2 linked regions of the Diceros bicornis minor genome follow. The protein of the gene in region 1 purifies or fractionates together with the protein of each later gene. This does not show direct contact. Links are inferred from orthologs where the notes say so. Each region holds a gene or a part of one and is shown on either strand. Other genes may lie near its edges.

What was found. Proteins that work in one complex are often made in the same cells at the same time.
Region 2: the proteins of POLD1 (region 1) and POLD3 purify together in Homo sapiens (co-immunoprecipitation; 8 studies listed by BioGRID and IntAct, with this or other methods). This does not show direct contact. The link is inferred for Diceros bicornis minor from reciprocal best matches to the Homo sapiens genes POLD1 and POLD3.

What each region holds. Positions count from the first base shown.
Region 1 is NC_080773.1:25,594,023-25,601,255, reverse strand, and holds the start of POLD1 (DNA polymerase delta catalytic subunit), read right to left. Parts: upstream 3,003-7,233; 5' UTR 3,002-3,002; coding exon 2,800-3,001; intron 2,460-2,799; coding exon 2,346-2,459; intron 91-2,345; coding exon 1-90. UniProt on the Homo sapiens protein: As the catalytic component of the trimeric (Pol-delta3 complex) and tetrameric DNA polymerase delta complexes (Pol-delta4 complex), plays a crucial role in high fidelity genome replication, including in lagging strand synthesis, and repair.
Region 2 is NC_080746.1:56,440,913-56,448,627, forward strand, and holds the start of POLD3 (DNA polymerase delta subunit 3), read right to left. Parts: upstream 3,002-7,715; 5' UTR 2,855-3,001; coding exon 2,795-2,854; intron 1,435-2,794; coding exon 1,379-1,434; intron 1-1,378. UniProt on the Homo sapiens protein: Accessory component of both the DNA polymerase delta complex and the DNA polymerase zeta complex.

The sequences.
Region 1 (7,233 bases):
AGACGCCCTCGTCGGTGACCCCGAAGGCGCGGAGCACAGGCACGGAGCCGAGAGGTGGCAACGGCGCCCAAGGCAGGGGCTGTGCTGGGCCTGGGGGCGTCACAGGGTAAGGCAGGGGCTGCCCTCTCAGACTCCTCAAAGGTTCGCCTCCCCGGGGCCCTCCCGTGCCGGGAACGCAGCCCCGTTCCTGCAGCTCGGGGCCCTTCCGCGCTGTGCACGCCGCCTGATTTCAGCCCTGGCGTGGAGGCGAGCCCCGCCTGCCCCGGGCTCCGTTTCCACCCTTGTCCCCCTAACGTCCACTTTCCACGGCGCAGCCAGACGGAGACCCCCACCCTTTTCTGCAAATGCAAAGATTTTCTTTTAAAAAGTAAAATCGACTTTGTATAGTGTTACGAGCTTGAACGCACATACACATTCACGTAACCACCACCAAAATCGGGGTACTAGACGCTTCCGCCACTCCGGACAGCTCCCTCGAGCTGCCCCTCTGCAACCACGCCCCCCTCCCACCCCACCCCGGCACTGACGGTCTGTTCCCCGTCTAACTGCGTCTTTTCGAGACCGTCCCTGTGAATGGAGTTGTACAGCCCGTCACCGCTGGGTCTGCCTCGCACTCAGCACGACACCCCTGACATTCATCCTCCTCACGCGTCAACAGCTCCTTCCTCCTTATTGTGGAGAAGCACTGCGCGGTGTGGATGGACCAGAGTTTGCTTATCCGCTCCCCCGGTAGCAGGATATGTGGGTTGTTTCCAGTTTGGGGCGGTTATGAGAAGAGATGCTATTAACATCCGGGTACAGGTTTTTGTTTGAAGCGAGGTTGCTGTTTCTCTGGGGTAAATATCTAGGGGTGGAATTGCTGGGTCCTATGGTAAGAGTAGGTTTAACTCTTCTTTTCTTTTTCTTTCTTTCTTTTTTTTTTTGCTGAGGAAGATTGGCCCTGAACTAACATCTGTGCCAGTCTTCCTCTATTTTGTATGAGGGTCACCACCACAGTATGGCAGTCAATGAGTGGTGTAGGTCTGCGCCTGGGAACCAAACTCAGGCCGCCAAAGCAGAAGGTGCCAAACTTAACCACTAGGCCACAGGGCCAGCCCCAAGAGTAGGTTTAACTCTTTTATCTCAATAAAGCTGGAAAAAACCCACTAGAGTCCCAATGGACAAAAAGAGAGTAGCTTAAACTCGGTAAGAAACGGCCAGGCTGTTTCCCCGAGTGGCCGCGCCCTGCCGCGTACCGCCAGCACCTGGTGGTGCCAGCATATTTCACTTCCGTCCTTCTGAGAGGGGCGTGCTGTGTCTCCCTGCAGCTGTCACGTGCATTTCCCCAGGAGCTAGGGACACAGAGCATCATCCCACATGCTCCTCGGCCATCCTTCTCCTCCAGTGAGTTGTCTGTTCAAGTTTTGTGTCCACTTTTGAACTGGATTGTTCTCTTACTGTGGAGACCTGAGTGTTCTCTATATATGTGCGGCACGGTCCTCTGTCAGGCGTGTGGGTGATGAATGCGTCCTCCCCGCCTGTAGTTTCTTTTCATTCTATCACAGGGAGGCCTCTAATAGGCAAGGGGGAGCGGGCCTCTGCATTGCGAGAGACTCCCCAGTGCGCTCAGAACGGAGCCCTGAAGTCCTCGCGGGCGACAGGCTCTCCTGTGCCCCCTTGCCTTCATCTCTGCCCCTCGCTCCCCCACACTGGTCTCCTCGCTGCTCCTTAAACACACCAGACCTGCTCCTGCCCGGGACCCTCCACCCAGAACCCCTCTTTCCCAGACATCCCCTCTGCTCCTTGTCGCCTCCGCAGAGAGGCCTTCCTGGACCTTCAAGAAGCGTGGTCCAGCACGCCCCGCATCCTACTCCCCGCTTTGTTCTTCTATAACCCTCACGGCTACCTGCTGTCCCATTTCCCTTTTTATTTTGCCCCTCCTTCCAGAACGTGAGCCTCTGAGAGCAGGGACCTGGTCTGCCAGGAACAGGGCCTGGCTCGGTAGAGACGCTCAGCTGTTCCTGACTGACTAGATAAGTGGATGGATGGATGGATGTCACACACGTCTCTCCCCTCTGCAAGGAGTCAGTTCTTTTTACCTCCAGGCCTCAGCTGGAAGATGCTCCCCTCCTCCAGGAAGCCCTTCTGGATACCCGTGCCCCTCTCGACCCCCCACCAGACTCCTCGCTGCCCCCTCTGGGCACCCCCAGGCCTGTCCCTCCCTCTCACAGCCCCGGTCACCAGGGCAGGGACTGCCTGTGTCCATCTCCTCCCACAGAGCCAGCGGGGCTGACGCGGCCAGGCCTCCCCCGCAGGAGCCCAGGGCCCCTCCACCCACCCGCCAGGCTTCTGTCCCCCAAACTCACCTACGTAATGGTCGATCTCCAACTGCTGGAAGATGAGGGGCTCCGTCTGGGGGTCTAGGGGGGGCGGGGAGGGCCGAAGCCAGCGGGGATCTATGGCTGTCTGGGAGAACTGCCCTGCGTGTGGGGAGGGAAGCAGGGCTACATGAGTCGGGGTTCTCCCTCAGGATAAGTAACTGCCCTCCCAGCCCAGCCCGTGACCCCTCAGGTGGCATCCGATTTGTGAAAGGAGAGTCAGGGGAGGTGGTGGTCTGGATCAGGCAGGAATCTCGGGAGAGACTGTAGGATCAAGGTCAGAATAGAAACTGCAGGCAGGAAGTGGTATACTGGCATGGGGTCAAAGGTCAGCCCTATGTGGGGCTCAAAGTGGGCCAGAGGTTACAGGTCAGCTCTGTGGCTGCCTCAGATCAGAGGCAAGATGGGAGGGGGCGCAGGGGGCTCCCGCTCCAGGCCTCACCGTCCGCAGCCCCGTCCACGGCCGACAGTAGCTCCTCCTCCTCCTGTTCCTGCAGCCGGTGCTCTGCCTCCAGCTCCTCCATCAGCGCCAGATCCTCCTCGAACTGGGACGGCCCAGACGCCTCATCCTCATCCCAGAGGCCCCCCCGGGCCCGCTTCGGGGGCACCCCGGGCCCCGGGCCTGACCGCCGCTTGCCATCCATCCTGCCAGGCAATTCGGGGCTGGGTGAGGGTTCCCGCCTTCTCCGTGGCCTCCCGTGCACCCACCATGACTGTGAGCCTTTTGATTCTCTGGAGCGCCTGAAGGGTAACACGGCTCTCCACCCGCAGGCTCACAGGGTGCTGGAACGCTCCAGACGCCCAGTGATCATCAGCTGATGTAACTCCAGCCCACCCCCCAGCTCAGCCTAACCCTCTCCTCACACGCTCAGGCCCTCCACGTCCTTCTGTCCCTGGGTACTTGCCCCTTGCAGACCCCTCGTCACTGGCTCTCCTCGCCCTCTCCCCTCTCTGCCCATCACATCACATCATCGTTCCTTAGCACTTCCCTTTCTTTCCCATAAACCTCTGTCCTCAAGGCCCTCGCCCGCCCATCACCACATCTGCCCGGGCCTTCCCTCGACAAACAGCTGGGCAGCGCCCCCTTCAGGCCAGTCACTGTGTTGGGGGCCAGGGAGTGGCCTGAAAGACGGATCTGATCAGGTCCCTTCCCAGCTCAAAACACTGCACTCAAAAACAAAACAAACACAAGAGCCCTCCCTTTTTATTCTGAAATAATTTCAAACTCATAGAACTCCTGTGTAGCCTTCACCCAGAGTCCCCGAGTGTCAATATGGGGCCACATCTGCTTCCCACTCCCTCTCCCCACCCCCATATACAATATGCACAATTCAGATTACTATCTATTTTCCTATTTAAGGACATTCTCTTAAATAAGCATGGTGCAATGATCAAATCCAGGACATTTAACACTGACTCAATAATAATACAAAATAAAGAGTCCTTTTTCCAATTTCTCCAATAATCCCCAAAATGCCCTTGAGAGCAGCCCCCGCCCTCAATCCACAATCCAAAGTAGGAAACACAACAGCAAACCAAATAGAGACTGCTGTTTAGATGTGTTTACATGTATTCTTTTTCGTTTTTTTTTTTTTTTTTTTTTTTTTTGGTGAGGAAGATCAGCCCTGGGCTAACATCTGCCAATCCCCCTCTTTTTGCTGAGGAAGATTGGCCCTAGGCTGACATCCATGCCCATCTTCCTCCACTTTATATGGGACGCTGCCACAGCATGGCTTGATGAGCGGTGCATAGGTCCACGCCTGGGATCCGAACCCGCAAACCCCGGACTGCCGAAGGGGAGCACGCGCACTTAACCACTACGCCACCAGGCCGGCCCCTATCTGAGGGGTATATTTTGACAGGATATATTGATATACAAGTACATGTCCTCTAGTAGATTAGACAAAAGACTGTATTTAGGTTAAGCCTATTCAAGTTGGTAACTTTCTGCGGCTCAGAAAGAGAATATTCTAAGGAAATGCACACTTAAGTATTTAGGGGTAAATGGCCATGATCTATGCAAGCTGTTCGGAAAAGTTGTTTTACAGTGTGCATATGTACATAGAGAGGAGAAAAAGAAAGCATGTGTGTGTGCAAATCACAAAGTAAATAAGGAAAACTGTGAAAACAGGTGAATCTGGGTGAAGGGTACACAGGTGTTCTTGGTATTATTCTTTCAACCTTCCCATGTTTGAAATTATTAAAAAAGAAAATGAATTGTTAGAAAAGCACACATCTCTCAGTGTCCAGGCTGAGACAGAGGGGATTATGGGAGCCTAGAGCAGACCCCAGACCCAGCTGGTGGGGAGGGGAGGGGAGTGGATAGGTCAGCTGCCCAGGTTCAAGGGAACACCTCTGGATCCCACAACTATGCCCCCAGATCCAGTCTCCCCCCTTCATCCTTTTCAACACCGACCCCTTGCCTTGGGGCTGCCACAGGCTGCCCAGCTCGAGACTACGTTTCACGGTGTGCACTGCTGGGGTGGTCACGTGACCGAGTTCTCTCTCACGGAACGGGAACGACTTCAAGGCGTGCAACATCGGGGACAGCCTTAGAAGGAAGCTTGCCCTCCAGCACCTTCCCCCTTCCCGATGGCTGGAGCATGGATGTGGTGGTGGTGAACCAACCGTGACCACAGGGAAAAGGATAACATTCCAGAGAATGCAGAGCTACAAGATGGAAGGAACCCGGGCCCCTCAACAACCTTTTGGAGGTTTATGTGGAGAAATGAACTACCTACCTTTGGAGGGCTATGTGGAGAAATAAACTTGTATCTTGCCTGAGCCACTGGGCTTTGGGGTCTCTCTGTTACAGTGGCTTAGCTTAGACCTTAAATACAGCACAGAAAAATTCTGAACTGTTGGGGGTGTGTTATTGCAAACGTGTGGAGGTGGGATACAGTGGAATACCTCTCAGCATTAAAAAAAGAGGCAGCTACTGATATACATACACACAGGATGGATGAATCTCCAAAACACACCGAACACAAGCCAGACATGAGTACACCCTGGGGGGATGGGGAGTGACTGCTAACGAGCATGGGGTTTCCTTTTGGGGGCATGAAAATGTTCTAGAGGGGCCTGCCTGGGGGCGTAGCGGTTGGGTTCACGTGGTCTGCTTCGGCGGCCCGGGGTTCAAAGGTTTGGATCCCAGGCGCAGACTTACACACCACTCATCAAGCCATCCTGTGGCGGCGTCCCATATACAAAACAGAGGAAGACAGGCACAGATGTTAGCTTGGGGACAATCTTCCTCAAGCAAAAAGAGGAGGACTGGCAACAGATGTTAGCTCAGGGCCAATCTTCTTCACCAAAAGAAACAAAAAAAAAAAGAAAGAAAATATTCTGGAACTAGATGGAGGTGGGTGACTGCACAACATTGTAAGTATGGTAAACGCCACTGCACAGTACACTTTAAAATGGTTAATTTCGTCTCAATTATAAAAAGAGTATATATTGTAGGATGCCGTTTACACAAAGTTCTAGAATAGACTAAACTAATCTATGATGCTAGAAATCAGGCTAGTGGCTGCTTGCGGGGTGGGAGAGATTGACCGGGAAGGGGCACAAGGGAATTTTCTGGAGTGATGGAAATGTACTGCATATCCAGCTGTCCACCTGAGACCTGTGCATTTCACTATATGTAAATTACACCTCAATTAGAAACATAAAAGTGGGGAGGCTGCAATTCCACACCTAGGGGTTCATGCTACAGATATACTATCACATAATGAAAAAGTACATTTACAAGGTTATTTCCGGCAGCACTGTTTGCAATCACAAAAGACTGGAAACCACCTAAATGTCCTCCCCTGGGGGACTGTTTAAATCAATTACATTAATTCCGTTCCATGGAATACTATGCAGCTGTATAAAGGAATGAGGAAGCTCTCTATGCACTGATATGGAGGGCTCTCAAAGACCCATTGTTAGGTAGAGAAGGCAAGGTGCAGAACGGTGTACTTAGTGCTATCTTTTGTATGAAAAAAAAAAAAAAGATGTCAAGGAAAATGTTTACCCTGATTCTAGTCACTAGGAAACAATCAAACCAAAGTAAAGAGTGGTCTGTAAAAATACCAGTCTGGAATCTTCAAAAATGTCGTATGTCATGAAAGGGGGGAAAAAAACAGCCAGGAAACTGTTTTAGATTAAAGGAAAGACTACAGAGTGCTGACAACTAAATGCAAAGTGTGACCCCAGATTAGATCTTGGATTAAAAAATTGAAAATAGCTAAGAGTACCGGGACAACAGGAATAAAGACTGTCTATGAGATAATAGGGCTGTATCCCGTTAAATGGCCTGATTATGATAATTATACTGTAGCTACGTAGGCGGGCATCCCTGTTCTTAAGAGATACCTGGGGCTGGCCTGGTGGCGTACTGGTTAAGTTTGCGTGCTCTGCTTTGGCGGCCCGGGGTTCGCAGGTTCGGATCCCAGGCGAGGACCTACACACCGCTTGTCAAGCCGTGCTGTGGCGGCGTCCCATATAAAGTAGAGGAAGATGGGCACGGATGTCAGCCCAGGGCCAGTCTTCCTCAGCAAAGAAAAAGAGATACCTGCTGGGGTTTTTTGAGGCAAAGTATCATGATGATCACAACTTGCAAATAGTTCAGCCAAAAAAGAACCCAATGTGTGTATGCGTGTGTATGTTAACAACCGGTGAACCTGGGCAAGGGCACAGATTATCCTTGTCTTGTAACTTCTCTGCAGGTTTGAAACTTTTCAAAATAAAAAGTTGGGGGGAAGTACGTAAAAGAAAAACATTTTCACCAGGTGGGCTGGAGAATATGTATAAATATATTTGCTTTTAATGCATAATTCTGGAAAGATAAGCAATAAACTGGTAACACTGGTTTTGTGGGTGAGGGTGGGGG
Region 2 (7,715 bases), on another chromosome or scaffold:
GGGCTGTTACAAGAAATAACGTGTGAAATTGGAGCTGAAACCTAAAGGATGAGGACAGCTGGGAGAAGAGCATTCCAGCCAGAGGGAATGGTGCAAATGTCCCAGGGTGAGAACGGGCTTGGGATATATGAGGAACAGAAAGGCAAATACGGTTAGAGTATAAGTGAGGTAGAGAGTGGCATGGGATGAAGTTGGTAGATAGGCAGGGCCTAAACAGTATGTTAATTCTATAAAAATTACAAGTAATAAGAGTAGCTACAGTAAAATTGCAGGCAAATTTATTTCATCTCCAGTCCTCAACATGCACCTTTAAACCCCAACAGGCTTATCTAATAGTTACCTTATTTTATATTTAAACGTTCATAACCGCAACAAATTATTACTCTTACAGGTGTCCATTCTCAAAATTACCTGAACCTCTTGGGTTTGGGCCAGGACCGGTCTTAGCAACAGCAATCTCAGTCAAAATCAGTCCAAACCCATTCCTGGGCCAAGAGTTTCAGGTCTTGAAGGCATAAACATCACAGTCAAAATCAGATTCCTAAATCTGTCAAACAGCAAACCAAATAAAGCCAAATCTACCCATTTTAGAGATCCGGGATTTTCTAAGACTCATGGAATGTTCCTATGACTCAAGGAATAGGGAAAATCAGACTACCTTCAGGAATAAAACAAACTAAATGAGTATTTCACGCAATATATGTGCCCTCAGCCTGTTCACCAATTCCTCCTCTTGGGACATAAACAACATCTGCATATTTGCAGGTCAAGAAATTTTTGAAGTTAATTCCAAAGTTTGTTTCTCCCTTTTGGCCTCAAGTTGGACTATAAGTTTCAGCAAGGAAAAGTGATATGGCAAATTCAAGAAAGGTAATGCTCTATGCCATCCTAAACACTCGCTTTTCAGTTTCACTATTTAAGTGAAGTTAAAAAAACTATTTAAGTTCTCCCGTCTCATACTATTATACAGCTTGTGTAAAACACCTGTTGACCTCATTATGGAAGTATGTCAATAACACCCAGAGATGGGCCTAAGGAGCACGTGTGAAAACATAATGAAGATGTGAGATAACAGGCATATAAATCTGAGGTATAAACAGAACTGGCTAGTCTGTTTAATAAATTTGATATAACAAAGTGATATTAACCAGAGGGCAAGGTTACAAATAAACCCAGTAAATGTATCACCACACATTTGAGTAGAAGTCCACTTATCTCCAAAATAATAAAAGTAGTAAAAGGTAGTAAAAATAGCATGCTTTCCCATTTTTCCAGAAAAAAAAAAATAATTCTAACCTAGAGGTCATCTGTAAAGCTAAAAAACAAAGCAAAACGAAAAACTCCAATGCGATTAAAATTAGTAATAAATTGGACTTACTGTTTGGCCTGGTTGACGTGAACCCCTAGTGTATAGCTCAGCCATTTGTACGTCACCTGCAAGAAGAAATTTTTTAAACGTTTTATCAGATGACTCCAGAGTGCAGGTCAGTCCCAGGGGGTCCTAAAAGGTCCTACTCTTAGATGATTACACTTTATAAATTACAATAGATGCCACCCCAGTTTGCCAAGAATGATCCATCTGGGCAGGCAGGATGGAGAGATTTCTCTTACAAATACTAAGAAGTTTGTTTCACAGACCAATTAATGCAAAAGAGTCTAAAAAGAAAGGTTGAATATACATAGAAAGAAAAGGGCTCTCATTTTTCTCACACTCCTTGTTTTACTAAGGCTCTTTTTTTCACATTCTGTCCCTTTTTGGGGCCACCACCAAAAATTATCTTCAAATTCACCCAGAAGCTAGATTTCTTTGAAGTGTATGACTTGGAAACTTCTAAGGAAAGTTGCAGCCATACAAACAAACATTAAAGGGCACCAGTGGTGCAGGGGCCAGAGAATGAATGAAGTGGATGAATACTGCATCAGAGGGTAGACTGGGAACTAAATGCATCAAGCCTTGATCTTCCTTCCATCCTTCCTTGAACTCTCCTGTCACTTGTCGCCTCCTTGCATGCCTATCACTCTCCTCTCAAAGTCTTCCAATTCTAAATGCTGTTTCCAATAATTAGAAGACTTACATAGGTTAGGCAAAGGCAGTATGATGTAGAAGAAAGCATTAGCAAGAGACAGACCTAGGTTGGAAAAATGCCTATCCCCTACTAATTCGTATAAATCCTTACTTTATTTGTATAAAGAAATTATTTGGCCCCTCTGCTTCAACTTCCTTTTCTAACTCTCGGTAGGTCACCGTAAAGATTAAATGCAATAATGTGGATCCAAAGTTCACAGCAGGCACTCAATTACCCACGGTTTGCAAAGCGCATTCACATCCATCATCTCACTTGAGCTTTACTCCAACCTGTGAGGCAGGTCAAGCCTGTGTCCATACCAAATTTACAGGAAGAGGAAACCGACTGTCAGAAAATTCAACAACTTGTCACTTAACCCAGTTAAGACATAATTTCCTCAACTGTAAACTTGGGACTTAAACGCCAACCACCTTATCAGACAGGTGTAGGGACACCCTAGAAATATTATCAACCAACGCCCCGCCCTCCGCGCCTGACCTCCACGGCCCCTGGGGCGTGGGCACGCCCACTCGAGGGACGCGGAGTTGCGCGCGCGCCAGAGGGCCTCTTCCGCGAGTCCTCGCTGGCCCTGAGGCACGAGGCGTGGACCCCCCTCTCCCTTCGCCGGTCCCCACGAGGACACACGCCGAGGGGTCAAGACCCCCGCCGCCCTCGCTGGGCCCAGGACCCCCGTCGCACGCCCGCCTTCCCCAGTCCTAGCTCCTCACGATCTTGTTCTGGTCCGTGACGAACTCGTCTATATTTTCCAGATAAAGCTGGTCCGCCATGGTGCTGCGACGCCGGTCCCCGCCGCCTCAGAGCTCCCCTTGCCGCCACAAGCGCAGCTCCCGCCGGCGGGAAACGTCTTTTCTCCCACCCAGGTCCCGGGTCGTTTCCCACGGCAACGGAGGCGACGCGCTACGGCGGCCGTCCGAGGGTCAAACTAGTCTCCGAGATGGCGCAGGCTGAAGTGGGCGGAGCTTGTAGGAGCGGGCGGAAGTGAGGAGCTGGGAGAGCGGGCGTGGACTAGACGGGCTGTCTGGGAATCTCTGGTTTCAAATCTCAGCTCTGCTAGTTAATGACTGACCCAGGGTAAAATACCTCACCTCGAGGAGCCACAGTCTCTCCACATGAAAGTTGATGAAATAATCCTTGCTCTTGCATCCCTTTATTCAACAAATATTTATCAAGTACCTATTCTATTTGAGGCACTTCTTTAGCACTGGGGACCCAGCAGTGAACAATAGAGACGGAAATAAACAAGTAGTATTAGTAAAGTAATGCCAGCAGGGATAAGGTGCTGCTTGTTATAAATCCCTCAGAATCGAACATTCGGGAAGGTTTTCCAGAGGGGATGGGAGAAGCAGAGTGTTTCAGATACAGGCAGGAGCGTTGCTGGTAAGAGAAAAAGGTTCACCATAGCTGGAATGTTGGGAGAAGAGGAGAAAGAGGAGGAATGAGACTTGGGAGAAGCCAAATCATGCTGCGCCTACAAGGCTCTGTGAAGGGGCACATGGACTTTATTCTCGGGAAAAGTTTTCAGGTTGGGGAATTGCAACTAAAATTTCTCCTAACATCCACTAAAAAACAACCTTTATCATTGACTTCAGCATCAGCCAATGTAGTTCAATGCAGCAGCATTATGGATAATCCAGCAGTTATCTAGAGTTAGAGCCTGGATTTGAATCCTGGTTTTGATATTTGTTGTATGACCTTAAGTGAGTTATTTAACCACTGCAAGTCTGTTTCTCCATCTATAAGATGAAAGTAATAATAGTACCCACTTCGAACGTTTGTTGCTACATGCATTCATTCAAGACATACTTAGCAAAAGCCTACTAAGGGCCAGGCACTGTTCTGGGTGCTGGGGTGCTGGGGATACAGCTATGATCAATAATACACAGAACCTGTTCACATATAGCTTACAGCCTTGTGAAGAGATTTAAGTGACGGATGGTAGTGGCTTAAAGTAGGATAGTAGTAGTGGAAATTGAGAGACCTGAGTGACTTGGGTCTTCTTTTTAGAGTCAGCAAAACCTGCTGATGAAGTAGATGAGAGGAGTGTGGGAAAGACAGGAATCAAGGAAAATGCCTAGATTTGGAACCTAAATTGTTAGGTAAATGGTAAAGCATTTGACTACTGAGATGTAGAAGACTGAGAGAAAGAGAAGATGAGGAAATCAAAGAATTCTATTTGGCCAGAGTTATAAACAAGATAATATACATAAACCCCTCACACTATGTCTGCACACAATAAAATCAATAACATTTGGCTATTACAGTACTATATACCAGGCACACTGTACCAGGTGCATTGAGAGTGAGATTTCATTTAATCCTGATAGCAACCCTGCAAATGCCTTGTGTTTGTCCAGATTTTATAGACTAAATTGCCTAGGCTTAAGAGAGGAGACATGGCTGGGTCTGGCTCCCTGGCCTGGTGGTTAAGTTCAGCACACTCCACTTTGGTGGCCCAGGTTCACAGGTTTGGATCCTGGGTGTGGACCTACACCACTCGTCAGCCATGCTGTGGCAATGTCCCACATACAGAATAGAGGAAAATTGACACAGATCTTAGCTCAGGGAGAATCTTTCTCAACAAAAAAAAAAAAGAGAGAGGAGACATGGATTTTCTAGGTCACAGGGTTAAGTGGTAGCATTGGGATTGGAACTCAAGTTTCTTGTCATTGCTACACAGGAGTGGGAAATAAGTCAAGATAATTCACCAGAGAGGAGTCTGAATACTAACCCTATGCCAAAGGGAGAGATGATAATGCTGGCCCACCGTGGTCCTAGATATACCAATATTAAGAGAGTTGCATGACTTTTAGAAGCCAGATTAGTGGTTACCCTTTGGAGAGTAGGAAGTGGAAGGCTTCGGAGAAAAGGGTGATGTTCTGGTTCTGGATCTCGGCACTGGTCTCATGGGTAGGTTGAGTTTGTGAAAATGATTTGAATTGTACACTTCTGATATGTATAGTTTTCTGTATGTATGTTCACGCCAATAAAGAGTTTAAGAAAAGTGATTATTTGAAGAGTCTTAAATACTGTCCCAAGTCTTGTCAAACCAGGAAAATAGAAAACAGGTACAGGTATTGGAAAGAATGGATTTAGTCTTAACCTTAGACAAAAGAAGAGAGATTCTGGGAAGAAGGGATAATGGGTAAAAATGGACCCCAAGCAAGATAGTAATGGGATTATCAAATAAGATAAATGACCAAAGGCATCTCCAAATCTGAGGTGGAGTAATGGTACTAGAAAAGAATGACCACGGCCCAGGAGTGGGTAGGCTGGGAGTTGGGCTTGTACCTTAAGGGTAAGGTTGCCGGAGGGGGAAGGGAAGGGTTAGCTTTTCTGTTTGTGGCCGAGGCCTACCCAGCCTGAACATTCCCACCTCAGGGGAGCATAGCTGAATAGAAAGCATGTGGGCTTTGGAAATAAAATTTTTCTTTTAAAAAGCAAGCAAGCAAACAAACAAAAACCTGGGCTTGAATCCCAGCTCTACCACTTCCTAGCTGTGTGGCCTTAGGCAAATCATTTAACCTCTCTAGTCCTCAGTTTCATCTTTAAAGAAGGGATAATAATATGCAGTGGTATACTGATAAATGTTTAACAACCAATTTACTGAATAAAAAAGCCCTCATTTGTAGTGGTTGCCAACTTCTGTGGTGTAAATATTCCCACCATAGCAGACTTCAAGCTACCAATATTGATGTCACGGATTGCAGAGTTAGGAAAAGGTACACAATATCACACCATTATTTCCACCACTCAAGTACAATAAACAAATAACCTCAAGAGCATAAATAGTAGTAAAATGCAGTAAAATAATTAGGAAGTGATGAGATTCGAATCTTTATTGTCTTTGTTTTTAATATAATTTGTTTAATTATAAATTTATATAATTTAATTTTTAGTAATTGCCTTGTTTAACAACTGACTTGCAAACTTTCTGAAACTTCAACATTTGGCTCTCCTAAGCAAACACAGACCAGCTCTAGAACACCAGTATAAATAATTTACCTTTTGTGATTAAGGGGATTGAAAGTAACATGTTCTGTGGCTGGTAGATAGCTAAGCTTTTTATAAATGATAACTAGTATTTTATAACAAACACTTATATACCACTAACTATATGCCAGGCTCTGTTCCAAGTGCTTTACAAATATTAACCCATGTAATGTCCATAAGAACCCTAGAAAGTAAGGTGCGTTATTATCCCATTTTTCCACATAAGTAAACATTGGCACAGAGAGGTTAAGTAACTTGCCCAAGATCACAGAGTAAGGGGCAGAGCTAAAACTAAAACCCAGGCAGTCTGGCTCCAGCATCTATGATCGTAAACACTGTGTTTTGCTGTCTCGTTATTAGTTTACACCTGCATATAGGAAAACCAATAATAAATACAGTGAACTCAAACACATTTATTGCAGAACTTTGGAGGAATCCCTGTGCACATCAAAATGAGAATTGCGGAAGCCAAGAAACAAATGGTATATGTTGATTATCTACAGGTTGTGGGAACATAGAATCCAGGCAAACAAGTTAACCTGGGAAGTTTTCAAGGCAGTTGTTGGAAGGGCAGTTGTTGGAAGGGCAGGGGACAGAAAGTTAGATTAGGTTTAGAGAGTTGGAACTATAGCTAGCAAAAGCCAGTAAACAAGAATAGGACTATGTCCAGGAAATTAGTGTTTTTTCTAGATGATGCCTGAAAGCTTAGTTCTAGGGTCAAAAGTAAACCACAGGGGCCAGCCTGATGGCATAGTGGTTGAGTTCGCACGCTCAGCTTTGGTGGCCCAGAGTTCTCGGGTTTGGATCCCGGGCACAGACCTACGCACTGCTTATCAAGCCATGCTGTGGCAGCATCCCACATATAAAGTAGAGAAAGATGGGCACGGATGTTAGCCCAGGGCCAATCTTTCTCAGCAAAAAGAGGATTGGCAACAGATGTTAGCTCAGGGGTAATCTTCTTCACCAAAAAAAAACAAAAAACTAAACCAGAAAAGAGGACCTCTCTGTACTTTCACTTCCATAAATCATAGGTGTGAAAGTCTTTCAGCTCGTGTGCATTGCTGGGATAATAACTATTGTCTATTGAGCACCTACCATGTGTGGGTACCTTTCGTAGAATGACTCATTTCATCCTCAAATAACCCTGCTATTCTATTCTATTCTATTACTCCTTCACCAAAAAGGACTCAAATTTGAAATCAATTTTATGTTATCAATAGGAAGAGTGAATAGGAAATGATTCGATATAGGTTCCAAGACAAGCTTTGCTTAAACTAATAACTAAGTAGGATTTTAGAACTGGCCTCCTTCTAACATAACAACAACCACATCAGCATCTAATAGGTTCTTAGTAAATGTTTATTGACTTAACTTCAATTACACTGAAGGCAAGATTTAAGGGGGAAAAACACTGGATTAAGAAACAAGGTGACCTGAGATAGTGTTCACTTTTTCTTATCATTCATTGAGTATGTAAAGTATATAAGCACCATACTAGACCCTTTACTTGAATATTCTCATTTAATCCTCAAAACAATTCTGTAAAATAAGTAAATATTATTATTTACCTACTGTTATCCCTGTTTTGCAGATGAAGAAGCTGGAGCTCGGAGAGGTTAAGTAACTAGCCCCAACCAT